Struthio camelus: one gene and its partner. Each later gene encodes a partner of the first gene's protein in a complex. Links are inferred from orthologs where the notes say so. Each region holds a gene or a part of one and is shown in the gene's direction. Other genes may lie near its edges.

Region 1 (7,044 bases):
GTGAGAAGTATTTTGCCAGTACTGTTTGTGCAATATGTAGGATTTGTATGCAGTGCAAATGTTAAGTATGTTACGTACTGGATAAATTGAAGTGTGTCGGTCAAATCTTTCTTTCTTTAGACAAATATGACGACAGCACAGAAATTTCCCTACTGAGGTCGTGGCTTGTGGTCTCATTGTCTAGCATGAATTCATTACACTGCAAGTGACTTTCCTACTGTGATCGGTGCATCAATATAAGAGATTCCAGCTGTCTAAGTAAATGGAATATCAGGATGACATAAAACTACGTAAGTTCATACCATGGAGAAGAAAGACTGGAAATTTTGTTCTCCTGACTTCAGACTTGTTTTCCTTCAAAGGAGAGGTTATAATGAAATTAAAAGATGACAAATTCAAAACTGACACTAACTTGTTTGAACTGTGTGTAATTAGATCATGAAACCTGTTAGCACAGGAAGTCGTTACAGCCAAGAATTTAGCTTGATGGATCAAAAACTATTATAAGGTGTCTAAAGCAATCTAGTTTCAAGTAATGTTGATAAAACGGAAGGAATATTGAATTGTCTACTTCAGAGCTTTTGGCAATATCAAAATTACTTACTACATAGTATTGGGATCATAAGATCTTATTATTGCATTTTTGTATTTTCCCTGGAGCATTGGTGCTGGACATCTTTAGAGGTGAGATTCTGAGACAGATGGATACCAGGTCAGATTCAGTGTGGCAGTTGCTGTTTTCTTGCTGTTGTCAATTGCTTTTAGTAAATAACCAGCCTGACTACTACTATTTTATCACATCGAGTTTCTTGCTCAGTACAGTATGAGTCTGAGATAGAAAGCAGACAGATAAAGCCACATATGATCCTTGCTTGTTAAAACGATTATTACTTTGGCACAGAACTCTAACTGGGATAAGATAATTGCTTCATTTCATAAGCTGATAAAGGATATGATGCTTCATAGCAAAGGTATTTCCAGCTTCCACTTTTTAGCCAGAAATGTACAATGTTAAACTTTGCATCCTGATGTTTCCTAGTCTTGTATTTTCTTTAGTCCTTTCCTCACATTTTCCTTCTCTTCCTTAATTCACACTGGGTTGCCTTTTCTTGATAGTCTTTTTGACATCTCTGCTCAACTCAGTTCAGCAACTGATGTTTTCCATGTATGTTTCTTGAAATGTTATACAGATCAAATTCCAAGAATGGCCATACTGGGATAGACTAAAGGGCAGGCGTACACAGTATTTCTGCTTGATGCTCTCTCAGCCTCCAAACATTGCAGCTCAGAAATTTCCAGAGCTAGATGCAAATTCTACCTAGGTATTTATTTACACGCAATGCATTTCTCTTCATTAAACTTGTTCGGTCTCCATCTCAATTCATGTAAAATTTTACTGTCCACAGCGTCCTTTGGCAAGGACTTCAATAGGTCATCAACCCACCCATGAGGGTCTACTATCTTTGCTCTGTTCTGAGCTGGCTTCTTCTTGCTTCATTAGATGCTCCAATAATTCTTGTATTGAAAGGGAGAATAAACAAATTGATCGTCTTCCTACCACTCCAGGCCACTAGATTATACAGACCTCAAATCCTTCCTCCTCCCTTCTTTCTTTTGTAGAGTGGCAACTCCTAGCTTGCTTAGTTGCTCCTCATTATCAATGCAGTTTCACACCTTTCATCATTCTGGCTGTCCTCCTCTGAACCTTTTCAGTTGTATATCCTTTCTGAGATGTACCACTTTTAGTTTAAATTAATATGTGAAACAGACTGTACTTGCTGACCCATTTCACAGTGCTGTCCACTAGGTTACACGGAAAACGAAAGCAGTAGGAGAAAAGACAGTGGCATAGAGAAATAAGTTTCTCCTCTACCCACTTTAGATGCCAACAGTTTCCATTCCGATGCAACAAGGATGTGTCTCCTTCTTTTTTTCCTTTTTTTTTCCTTCTCCTTCTAGGAGCTCGAGGAAGGAGATAAGATGAGGTTCCGTGATAGACCTCGTCAGGGAACTGCAAACCCTTTAGAAAGTGTTATGGCTGTGTCAGTGTATGCAACACAGGAAATATGCACTATTGTTCTGGCAGCAGGAGAGGCAGATCCTGAATGGCATCCTGGTATTAATGATCTTAATGTCTCTTAGACCCGCCAGTTTCAGCACACTTGAAAACCAATGGGTGAAACCATTGGAAAATCATGGCAGGTCATTGTATCACTATGATAAGAAGTCCTCCTGCTTTCTTCCTCATCAACAAGTTATTTAGGCACTTCTTCATTTATTTTTCCAAGTGTTAACCAGTTGTTTCTCTCTATGCTGCAAACAATCATTTCTGACCGTTTCAGTTCGCTTAACTATCTTTTTGCTTTTGTCAATAAAATATCAGTTCTCTAAGAAGCCGTGTGAAATTTACTGGGTAAGAATGAGAAGCTGTGTTGAAAAGATATGTAGGCAAGAACATATTGCCCTTGTGTATTCTCCCTTTCATCATTCGATAATTTCAAGAAATGAAGAGCAGAAAAGACTTGACTAATTTGGACTGAATAAGAATACAAAGTCTTATGTCAACCAGAACTTTAAAGTTTCAGAAGCAGTTGCATTCAGGAAGGGACAATGCCAGAATTCAGTTCAGAACTATTACATATTCATAATTTATCTTTGAGAAAATGCATTCAAGGGAAAGATATTTAAAGATCAGATAGCTTTTTTGTTATCTTTTATCACAAGTCATTCTCAGGCTTTAGTCTATCTTTTTCTAAGATACAGCTGAATACTAGATCTTCCACAGTTTTCCGCTTCCCAAGCCTCACCAGACACCTCATCCAACCCTACTATTATGCATCTGAGCCGGAAAATTTCAGATGAAGAGGTCAGGTAAAAGACTGGCACCTAAAGCAAAGCCATCAACAAGAAAGCAAATAGAATAAATATAATGGAATGATGATTACTCAGTAAGAAAGATCTTGAAAGAGATAGGATGCTTTACTTCTGTTTCAGTATCTGATTCTTATCTGGAGACATTTTGAACATCCTCCCAGGCCAGAATATTGAGTAAGATGGGTCAGTGCATCTAAGTAGTCAGAGAGAGATCTATGTTTGCAGATAATTGCAAATGGACTCTTTTCTGTACATAGCTGAGCATGTATGTAGCTGTGTCATCTACACGGAGAGGTTTTTAAAATGCTGCTGGCAGGGAGAAGGCTTCTTGGGGTGCATGTAAATGACTGAGGCGAAACACGAAAATACTTGAGGAGGGGCCACAGCAACTGCTAAAACTTTTTAGAAAATATAAAAGGCAAAGGCTGTGTCTGCTTTTCTTACCCCCAGTTTTACCCAGCGGTTTTAAATCTAGGCTCCTGCTGCCCTGTCAACTGTAACTGTCTGTTTGTATGTGTACCAGTATGGGAGAATGTTCTTTTTGCTGCATATTTTGTATGACTGGATCTTCTCTGGCTCTTTTCTCTCCCTTAATGAACCCCCATGATGCTTTCCTCCCTTTTTTTTCCCTCCAAGCAGTTTTATCTTCCCATCCTGTCGGCTTGGTGGGACCAGCCTGTTGACAAGTTAACAATTTGCCGTCTAGCACCCTTGCCGGGCCAAGTGGCGGCGAGGCAGTTACCGGGCAGCGGGCGGGCGTGTTGCCACCTCTGGGTTGTTTCCCCTGGCGCTGGGGCAGTGCTGCTTCCTGAGGGGTTTCAAGCCGCTCGCTGCTACCCGCGCCTCGAAGGAAAGCGGCCTCTCGGCCCTGCCGGCTCCAGAGGGCCGCCAGCACCAGCCACGGGCCGTGGCTCCGGCCTGCCAACCCCTGGCGCAGGGGGCCCGCGTCGCCTCTGAGGCGCCCCTGACTGCAGGAAAGCAGTAACCCTGCCTTCCCTAGCTGGGAGGGGGCCGCGCCCGCTGCCGTTTCCCGAGTCCACGCGTCCGTTTACGGCCCGCGACGAGCCGTTGCCAGCCGCCCAACGGCACTACAGCTCCCGTGGTGCCGCGCGGCGGCGGCGCCCCGCCCCGCCCCGCGGGCGCGCACAGCCTGCTGGGGGCCGGGGCCGTGCGCGGGGGCCGGCGCCAATGGCGGCAGGCGGTGGGGGCGGCTGACGGGAGCCGTTGCCCGTCGCGCCCATTCATTGCCGGCACCTGCGGCCCGCGGCCGGGTTCCGCGCCGCTATGGAGGCGCTGATCCCCGTGATTAACAAGCTGCAGGACGTGTTCAACACGGTGGGGGCCGACATCATCCAGCTGCCGCAGATCGTCGTGGTGGGCACGCAGGTGAGGCGGGGGCGGCCCGGCCCGGCCCGGGCGGGGCGGTGGCAGCGGCGGCGGGAGCGGCCGTCGGTGCCGAGCGGCGGGAGGCGGCAGCCCGGCCGCTGGGGGCAAAGTCGAGGCACCCTCCCCCGCGCCTCGGCTCGGGCGGCTCCGGTGCTGCCTCTATCAAGGGCACGGGGGGACGCGGCGGGGCGGGCCGCCTCCCCGCCGCCTGCGGCCGCGGCGCCTCTTCCCCTTCCGCCGCCCGCCCGCTCCCCGCCTCCCCCGCGCCGCCGGCGGCTGTGGCCGGTGGCGAGTGCGAGGGGCGCAGCAGCGCGCTGGAGAAGCCGCCTCTCGCCGGCGTGCACCCTTTTTTTTTTTTTAACCCCCTCCCGCGAGGTCGCTTGACAGTTCCTTGCGCTGTTGGGACCTGTTTGGCTCGGGCAGCGGTTTGGAGCGAAAGGAGGAAGCGGCACAGAGCAAACCTGGAACAGTTGCGGCGTGCGCATCCCAGCCTGGTAGCGCTGGAGGGTTATAAATTGTTTCGGAGCCTTTCGGAGGGACGCAAGCGCGCTGTAGTTGCTCGACAGAACTCTCCGCGACGAAATGTGCCCAGCCAGAGCTGTCGGAGTTGTAGGCTGAAAATGAAGCATTTTAGCACAGCTAGAACTGCCTGGGAGGGGAGTGCTTTTTCATTTTTAACTTGGAGTTAATGGGTCTCTTTGTTTCTGTGAAATTAACCGTGCTTATGAATATTTGATGTTACTTGACAATAGCCTGGCTACATAAGAGACAGCAGTATCAACTGTTCTGCGGTCAGTTTGAGATGTCATTATGTGGCTTAAAACAGATGCTGCGTGTTTAAGGCTTACACAGTGCTGAAGCACGGACTAGGTTTGCCCATAGCTAATTACACTCTTGAAATGGTTGTAAGGCAACCAGCTGTCAGTCTCTTTTACTGATATAAATCAGGTAGATTCATGGACTTTATATCAATTACTTTATAAAATAGATCTGAAATACTTGCATTGTGTGGGAGAGACTTTGCATTCACAGGTTATGTTAGGTTCTTGCTGTTTTTGTAGCTAAAAGGAGTCCATCACCTTCTGAAGACATTTAATCTCTTACACTAAAAATCATGCAAGCAGGCTGTATTTTTTTTTAATTTCTATAGCAGAAATAGGTGCAAGGCAGAGATATGGCATTTTTCTGTGTAATGTTAATGGAAGTATTATTTTCTGTTTCACTTTATGAAACACATTGAAGTGACACTTTATTTTTTGGATTATTGTTGCTTTATAGCAACTTGATCCTAGTTAACTGCTCATAAATACATAGAGTAGGTGATGCGTGTTACGATTATACTGACATGCATTTGACTTGAACAGTCTACCCTTGGGTAGTAACATCCATTCAATTTCAAATTTGGTAAACTCATGAAAAGACATAGAATAAGGTAAAATAGTGTGATGCCTCTTAGCACACCAAGGCCAAGAGCTTTATAGACTCCAGAAAAAATACAGCAAAATGTCTGTGAAATTATAATTACATTATATAATTGTATTATAATTTCACAGACATATATAAAGCCCTTGGTCCGTGATTTTTTTTTTTGTTTGCAAAACACTATTTTTAGTCAGAGTTATTGGAAGAAATAATTGTTCTCACTGAAATGCTAATTCTTTAGATAGTTATTTTACCCAATTCATTCATTTTAAAAAACACTTTATTTTATTCATTTGAAGTTAGCTTATTGGCTACTAGATTTCTGGATTTGCCTCAAATATGGCCCTATAGCCGATCCTATTACTACTGGTGCTTTGCTTCCGTGATTTGTTTGTTTGTTTGAGAAGACACATTTAAAAAAAAAACCAATATCCTTTGGTCGGTTTCTTGAGGTATTTTTGGTTAAGTGATATGTGACCGCTAAATTTGTTCAGATGATTAATTTCTTTGTAGCCCACTGGCTTTTGCAGTCTCTTGTTTTTTCTTTTTTGTATAATATTAACAACTTTCTGAATTTCGCACCTTCATTTTACTATGTGGAAAAACAAATGTTATTAACATTTCTGTAACCCTCCATTAATTTTTTTTGTCTATTTTGTCTGTTGCTTTTCTAAAATGGCCTTTTTTTATATTTAGCATGGAGAAAAAAAAACCTTTTTTAACAGTTTCACTATTCATTTGTTTTCATTTACCTTCTGTATCTGTTCTGTACCCTTTTACTATTTGTTTTGTACTTATGTCTTTCTTCAGTTCTCATTTATTTCTACTTCTATATGCCAAATTGATTTCTTCTTTTTTAGAGTATGTAGAGTTAGCAAGTACTTAAAATCTTTAAGTTATCTTTGGATGTTTTCTGTTTCTCCATGTGCCTCTTTCCCCCTCTCTCTTGTTTGGAAACTCATTTCCTATCTTCCTTGAAAACTCTGAGCAACTGAGGTGTCCTAATTTTTTGATTTTTGTAGATGGATTTTGATACTAATTACAAAATACTTCTTAGTAGATTTTAAACATTTAGATGGCCTCTTGCTCTTTTTCTAGTCTCATTCTTGTGACTTTGTCATATGAGAATTGCTTCTCATTTTCTACTTAAATACTGTGTAGGTTATTTCTGTATCCTCCTAGAGTGTATTAAGAAAACCGAAGACTCCATTTCCTACTGCGGGAACTCGGAGAATGCCCTTGGAATGCTAACTCTGTGTTGCTATTTTAGGGTTTTTCTGTCATTCTACAGTGGGTTTTCTTTTTATTTATCTTTTCCTGAATCTGTGTTTCAGTTCCCTTTTTACAACTATTTCATTAAAG
Region 2 (7,468 bases), on another chromosome or scaffold:
CAAGTGCAGGGACATGACATATGGGCTGGTATGCTACGTACGGGCAAGGAGGTGAGCTGGTTACGGGACAGGTTGAGGGTCTCCAGCTGGGTCCACTGGTCAATGCAGAGAGACAGCTCTGCGATCTGGTTGCTGCTGAGGTTGAGGCGCCGCAAGCTGTTCAGGGTGTAGAGGCACTCGGGGACGCGGCTGAGCTCGTTGCAGGACAGGTCCACATCTAGGGGAAGACAGTGGGGTGAGGCTGCTGGCCAGCCCAGTGCCAGGGCCGGGAGAGCCCGAGGCTGCTGGTGCCGCGTGCCCTGGCCCTACCTGCCAGGTTCGTCAGGCCCTCGAGGCTGGTGGGAAGGTTGCTCTGGGTGCGCTGGGTGTTCCTGAGATGGAGGGTCTGCAGGGCTGTCATTGCTGGGAGCTGCCTGCAGAGACCCAGGGACAGAGACAGTGACAGAGCTGGAGTCAGACCCTGGCACAGCCATGGGTCCGGCCAAGCAGGGGACCCCAGGGACAGGCCATCCCCCTTCCCAGGGGGACCAAGCCAGGGCTGGGCCACTGGTGAGCTGAACGCCACCCCATGCCGGCATGGCAGGATCCTGCCCAGAAAACGGGGCCTTACCGGAGCTGCGCGTGGAGGAGGGGGTTGTCGTTGAGGATGAGGGTCTGGAGGTGGACCAGGCGTCTCATCTGTGGCGGGAGGCTCTCCAGCTTGTTGTTGCTCAGGTCGAGATAGAGCAGGTCCGTCAGGTTGATGAAGAGCTGGTTGGGGATGGTCTCGATGCTGCAGGGACATGGGACTCTTCAGAGCAGCCCGGCACCTGCGCCAGCCCCGGGTGCCGCCACGGAGAGGGCAGAGAGCTGGACCTGGAGCAAGGGGGAGCAACGGATGTGATGGATGGAGGTGGCCAGGACCTACCTGTTGTGACCGAGGTTGAGGACCAGCATGTTCTTGGCGTTCTCCAGTTCCCGGGGGCACTCTGTAAGCTGGTTGTAGCTCAGGTCCTTGGGAGAAATGGAAGAGCAAAGCAGGCGTCACCTTCCACCCTAGGGAGGGTCCCACCTCCAGCAGCCACCATGCAAACCCCAGGACTGAGTGGCATCTTTGGGGGCTTGGCCTGTCCCATTCCTGCGCACTGTCACTCGGTCCTTCCAGGCTCTCCTGCCACCCTCCAGGCTGCGCATGACAGAACGCGGATTCGATAGGAGATAAGATTTCTAGCTGCAGCAAAGACATTTACAGCCAGGGCCCCAGAAAGTCGAAGGGAGCCAGGAAGCACCGGGACCTGATTCGTTGCACCTTCCCCCGAGACGCCCTCAGCCCTGCTGTGCATGTACAGCCCGGGTGTGCTCCCAGACAGGAGCGAGGTGCCTCCGAGGCAGCGGAGCTGAACCCAGGAGTCTGGCTGGCTCCCGTGTTTGCCGGAGCTGCCTCCCATGGTGGCTGAGGCTGGGCAGAGCTGCAGGGAAGGGCGGCCAGGAGGCGCTGTGCGTACCAGCACCGAGAGGTCGTCCAGCTGGAAAATGTCATCGGGGACTCCGGAGTTCTTCAGGCTGTTCGCACGAGCCACGATCGCCTGGAAAGGGGAGAGAGATGAGCTGGGGGTCAGCGAGGCCCGGCCGGCCTCATCAGCGAGGTGGTGCCCAGGCCGTGGCCTGCAGCCACCCGGAGCCCTGCTGAGCTCTGCCCAGCCAGGCACATCCATGCCGATGGCCAGGGAAACTGAGGCACGGGATGGTGGGAGGGCTCTGCCTGCTGGTGAGAGGGACACGAGTCCTCCCAGAAGGGGGTGACGCAATGAAGGGTGTGCCCAGGGCATCTCCCTGCTCAGCCCAGCCGGCTCGGGAAGCTGCTGTCCCCGGAGCAGGGGCTGGCTGAGAGGTGCCGGGGGCCACCGGTCCTGCTTCAGGAGGGATGCTGAGGGTGCACAGAGCTGGGCACTTACCCGGAGGCAGGGCAGGCCGGAGAGCTCGCCGTGGAGCGTGGTGAGGCTGTTGTGGCTCACGGATAGATGTTCCTGCAGGGAAGCCCCAAAGAAGCCACCGTGAGAAAGGCGCCCGGGGGAGAGCGGCAGGGGCGGCTCCAGGCAGCAACCGGGGCTCCGGCATCGCAGGCGAGATGGGGCTGGCGGCGGCACGGGGCGAGCTCAGCCCTGACCCGGGCAGCGCTGCTGAGACGCTACGCATGAGATGCCAAGGCCCAGATTTTAAGCTAGCCGTAGCCCCTGAACATCTTGAAGGATTTGCTGGGCAGCGCTGCTCTCGACATCGCCAAGAGCTTGTCCCGCCGCAGCGTCTCTCGGAGGAAGGGTGCTCGGAGCCACCCTGCCACCAAAGCAGGCACACTCGGAGCGGGGACCAGCCTTTCTGGCAGGGCTTAAAGCATCACGTTTGGCTGACACTCATTTAACTGTGTCCATAACACACTGCGGGACACTGCCAAAAGCAAAGGTTAGCCATTAACTCCACCGAAGGCCTGGTCTCGCACAGAGCTTGAGCCTCCCAAAACCAAAGCCAGGCAGCTGCCAATTACTGCTCTTCATATCTTTTAGCAAGGAGGGAAAAAAAACCCCAAAATTTAGTCTTCCCCAACTTAAACCTTCACCCTTCCCTTCTATCAGGGGGCAGAGGACCTAAGCATGGTTTTTAGCCTGGTTTTCCACGAAAACAAGATCAAGCCTAGCGCAAGCCTATCTCAATCCCTCCCCTAACAGCTCCTGCATCCAATTTCAACCACGGTTCATGGCTCAGCCCTATTATTAGACCTCAGAGCACCCGGCGACGAGCCACGAGGCTGTGAGACACCAGGTTACTCAGCAGGGTCCCGACAGCCCCATCCCCTGGCCGAAACGCGCTGCTCTGTCGCCGGCCGGGCGCCCCGGCCCCTCACCAGCTTCTGGAGGGAGGCGAGCTCCTCGGGCAGGTAGCAGAGCCCCGTGCGGTTCAGCTTCAGCCAGCGCAGGCTGGTCATCGCCTTCACGTGCTCGGGGAAATAGCCGCCCTGCGAGGAAGAGGAGGGATGGGGGGAAAACGAAGGGTGAGAAAACCAAGGCAGGAGGCCGGACCCTCCCGCCAGCCCCATATGCCCAGCTGAAAGGAGCGCAGCCCCCCCCCCCCCCCCGGCTGCCCCAGGGGGCCGAGATCACCCAGCCCCATGGGATCAGAGCCTGGGGCCAATGTCACCTGGCTCACTGGGGCCATGTGAGGTTGGGGGGGCCAAGATGTGGGGCCTGAAGATCAGCTGGCCCTATGGGGCTGAGGGAGGCCTAGGAGGGGGCCAGGATCGCCCAGCCCTATGGGATCTGGGCTTTGGATTGCCTGGCCCCATGGGATCTGGGCTTGGGGGATGGGATCACCCGGCCCCATGGGATCTGGGCTTGGGGGACGGGATTGCCTGGCCCCATGGGGTCTGGGCTTGGGGGACGGGATCGCCTGGCCCCATGGGGTCTGGGCTTGGGGGACGGGATCGCCTGGCCCCATGGGGTCTGGGCTTGGGGGACGGGATCGCCTGGCCCCATGGGGTCTGGGCTTGGGGGACGGGATCGCCTGGCCCCATGGGGTCTGGGCTTCAGATCACCCGGCCCAACGGGCCCCACGGGATCCAGGCTTGGGGGGCTGTGATCACCCAGCCTCATGGGGTCTGGGCTTGGGGGACGGGATCACCCGGCCCCATGGGATCTGGGCTTGGGGGACGGGATCACCCAGCCCCACGGGATCTGGGCTTGGGGGGGCTGCGCTCGCCGGGCCCCATGGGGTCTGGGCTTGGGGGATGGGATCACCCGGCCCCACAGGATCTGGGTTTCAGATCACCTGGCCCCACGGGATCCAGGCTTGGGGGAGGGGCAGGACCACCCGGCCCTATGGGATCTGGGGTTTGGATCACCCGGCCTCGTGGAATCCGGGCTGGGGGGCCAGGATCGCCCAGCCCCACGGGATCCGCGCGTGGGGGGCGGGATTGCCTGGCCCCACGGGATCCGCGCGTGGGGGGGCTGGGATCGCCCGGCCCCATGGGGCCCTAGGGGGTCCGGGGGAGGGCGAGACCCCCCGGCCATGGCCGGGGGGGGGGGGAGCGGGATCCCGAGGACCGTGGGGCGGCGCTCGCCGGGCCCCGTGGGGCCGGGATGGCCGGGGGGTGGAAGGCCCCGTCCCCGTCGGCCCGGTGCGCGGCCGCGCTGCCCCCCGCTCCCAACCTTGAAGTCGTTGCCGCTGAGGTCGACGCCGCGGACGAAGGGCAGCACCCCGGTGGCCGCCATGGCCGCCGCTGCGGAAGGGCGGGGGGACCCGGGGGGGGCCGCGCCGGCACCGCCACCCCCCGCCGCCGCCCCGCCCCGCGCCGCTTTAACCCCGTCGCTGCCGGCGGGGCGCGCCGGGCCCGCAGCCCTGCCCCGCGCCCGGCCCGCGCGGCGCCTTTAAGGCGCGTGACGGCAGCGCGCCCGGCGCTCGGCGTTCTATTTCCGAACGCGGGCGGGCGGCGCCGCGCTCCCATTGGCTGCCTCCGCGCCGCCGGCTGCGGGGGACGTCCGGGCGCGCCGCGGCGCGCGCCGCTGGGGTGAGCGCGCGCGTGGGGCAGGGGGGGGTCTCGCGTGGGGGCGACTCCGCGCGCGCAGGGAGGGCGGGAGGACTCCGGTCGGGGGGCTCCGCGCGGGGTGTCCCGCGGTGGGGGGGGGGGGAGGCGGATGTCCCCGAGCCCCGCTGCGGAGCACCGTGGGCCGCGCACACGCGGGGGAGGTCGCGCCCGGCTGCGGTGTCCGTGGGCGGTCCCGAGGGCCTGGGCTCTGGCGGGGGGTGTGCAGCCTAGTGGTTGGGGGGGGCAGGGGGGCTGGTGGGGGCGGGTCTCCTCCTTCTGGGTGCCCCCGGAGCCAGCGGGTCTCGCGTGGGGTCTCTGCGGCGCCCTCGCGGGCCGGTGCTGCAGGCAGCGTGGGGACCTCACGGGCTCCAGCCTAGCGGGTTCGGGGTTCCCAGTGTGTCCCAGCCCTGGGGTGCTACAGCTGTCGGGGTGATGTGTGCCTGCGATCACCTGCCCACCCGTACTGCCCTCGAGGGGGGCAGCACCGTAGGGGCCGAGCAGCCGTGGGCCGCCGCGGCCTCCGAGCCGCCTGCGGCCGAGCCAGGACAGTTGCTCCAAGGGCAGCACGGGAGGCGGGCGACATCCGGCGTGAACCTTGCTCTGCGCCAGCAGCCTCCCGGGCGGCCCGCTGTGCCCTCCGGCCGGGGCGCCCCAGGGGCTCCCGCGCTCTCCGGGGTCTCCTGCGGCACCGGACCCAGTGACCGGTGTCCCGTGCGTGCAAAGGAGGTGCCGAGCTGGCCGGATCCTGCTTTTCGCCACGGCTCCTGTCCTCTCCCCTCCGCTGCAGGGCGACCATGGCGGAGTTCGCAGCCAAGCGGGGCAAGCGGCAGGACGACAGCGGGCTGGGCAGCGCCGTCGACTTCCTCCTGGCCAACGCCAGGCTGGTGCTGGGCGTGGGCGCCGCGGCCGCGCTCGCCATCGCCACGCTGGCCGTCAAGCGGGTAACGTACAGAGAGAGCAACCTGTCTGCGCTGGGTTTTCCTTGCTGCGGATCCTGGATGATCCCTTTTCCCTGTCCGTAGGAGCAATGTTCCGCTAAGGGGGGCGCTCCCGGGGATTTTCCCTTCCGCGCTCCTGGTGTTTGCACGCAGAGCGTGGTGTGCGAGGATGCTGTGGCCAGAGCAATTTGGCCTTTGCACCTGAGCGTTTGGGCGCTGCACGTTGTCCGCCTGCAAACAGGAACGCCCTGCGGGAGCGACCCGTTGCGGGGCCTCCCTGTCGGCGTTTGTGCCCCAGCCCCGGAGCCGGGTGCAGTCGGGTGCAGGGAATTGGAGCCGCTAAGAGCAGCGATGCATGCGTGCCTCCCCCCGCTTCGGGGTCTCCCCACAGCTGATAGACCGAGCCACCAGCCCTCGCGACGAAGGCGATCCCAAAGCAGAACAGAAGACCCTGGAGGAGAGCTGGCAGGACTTGGCCTTGATCAAGGCAACGCAAAAACCCCCTAAGAAACAGAGGAGGGAGGACCTCAGTGAGCCTCTGCTCTCGCCCGCTCGGCCGCCGGTGCCAGGTGAGGCTCCCTCCGCGCCCGGGACGGTGCCACCGCGCTCCGCCTGCGCGGGGCTGGTGAAGATCACCTTGATGTGGCAGGGCCGGCTGCGCTGTGCTCCCGGCTGCCTGGGAGCTCCGGGTTATTTTTAGCTCGGTAACCGGAAAGCTGACCTGATTATGACTTTCCTCGCGGGAGGCTCCCAAGCTGCGGTCCCTTTTTAGGCAATGCCTGCAGGAATAACACCTCCGATAACGCCCCGAGCGTCTCGGCAAACGTGTCGTGGTAGAAGGCTGTCTGGGCTTTGTTTCTGTTTGAGCGGTATCTGCTGTGCTTGGTTTTGGGTCAGCTCTCTATCTAGAGAGGAAAGTATGCTCATAAATCACCTAGAAAAATGCTGGCTTACAAAGACGGCATTTTTCTTAGCAGAAAACCTGCCCAGCTTGGTGCAGGGCTGATCCTGAGATAGCAGACTCCCAGGAGCCCTCTGGCCCAGAGCAGGATCGTCTGTCGGACTCAGGCTAGCAGGCAGACATCAGGGCCCGGCTCTAGCCGAGCGTGGCGGGGACAAAAACTGCGGCTGAGACTTGCGAGGGACCCTTCTGGCTGCTATTGCTTCGCCTGGTTTATCCATCTCTAGCCAGGAGGTTGTGCTGGGTGCTGTACGGTTTTACGGTTGGTTTGAGCTCTGCCTCGGCTGAAAGGGGCTGTTAACATCAAAGTACTCAGTGATGCCCCTCATGGCAACGTTGGCCTTGTGTCCAAGGGCAGATGAGCCGAGAATCGAGTTTTTTTCGAGCCGAGAATTGGGTTTTCAGCTCGGGCCTTCCCCTTGGATGTGGCAGGAGAAGCTGCTGCTGTGTGTTGTGGATGATCTGCTGAGAGCTGTTTGCCCTTGCTGACTTCTTCCTTCCCTTTGCCCCATCCCCTCTTCACAGAGCCCAGGGACTGTTCTGCCCCTCCAGAGACTCTTCGGGTCGAATCCAGCCCTCGACGCTGCCTCACGCTACAGGAGAAACTCCTCTTGCACTACAGCAGCCACCTCGCCATCCCCGAGGAGCAGGTGGCCCTCACGCAGCAGCTGGCCAGGGACATCTGCGCAGAACTGCAGAACTTCCTGCAGAGCAAGTGCCCGGAGCTGCCCTTTGGCAGCCTCTTCCTCAGCGGTCCCCTGCTTGACGGCCTTGGGGCTCTTGCTGCTGACCGTGTCGACTTCATGCTGCCAGTGATCCTTGACCCTGGGCTCTGGAGCCTCATCCCAGGAGAGGACACTGTTGTGAGAAACCCCCAGTACTGGATGATCAAGAGGACTGATCTGGAGTACTTTCCTCGTGGGCGCAGCCCCTGGGACAGGTTCATTGTGGGCAGGTACCTCTCCTCCAACGCGCTCAATGAGACGCTCCACAAGATGCTGGTGGCCTCCATCA

The links. The genes of interacting proteins can lie anywhere in the genome.
Region 2: the proteins of DNM1L (region 1) and MIEF2 are in contact, whole or in part, in a cryo-EM structure (PDB 5WP9), measured with the Homo sapiens proteins. The link is inferred for Struthio camelus from reciprocal best matches to the Homo sapiens genes DNM1L and MIEF2. Residues at the interface, in NP_036192.2 of Homo sapiens: Asp190, Met191, Ala192, Thr193, Ser194, Leu197, Lys198, Ile199, Arg201, Glu202, Gly223, Thr224, Asp225, Asp228, Arg233, Val234; in NP_631901.2 of Homo sapiens: Val213, Asp214, Thr215, Val216, Arg218, Arg226, Leu230, Arg235, Val245, Gly246, Tyr248.

Annotation. Positions count from the first base shown.
Region 1 is NC_090942.1:67,416,875-67,423,918, reverse strand, and holds the start of DNM1L (dynamin-1-like protein), read left to right. Parts: upstream 1-4,029; 5' UTR 4,030-4,158; coding exon 4,159-4,260; intron 4,261-7,044. UniProt on the Homo sapiens protein: Functions in mitochondrial and peroxisomal division.
Region 2 is NC_090956.1:3,624,636-3,632,103, reverse strand, and holds the start of MIEF2 (mitochondrial dynamics protein MID49), read left to right. Parts: upstream 1-4,450; 5' UTR 4,451-4,537; intron 4,538-5,342; 5' UTR 5,343-5,349; coding exon 5,350-5,496; intron 5,497-5,884; coding exon 5,885-6,062; intron 6,063-6,979; coding exon 6,980-7,468. Other genes in the region: FLII (protein flightless-1 homolog), read right to left, coding at 42-217, 310-413, 611-772, 908-993, 1,485-1,565, 1,935-2,006, 2,879-2,989, 4,179-4,241. UniProt on the Homo sapiens protein: Mitochondrial outer membrane protein involved in the regulation of mitochondrial organization.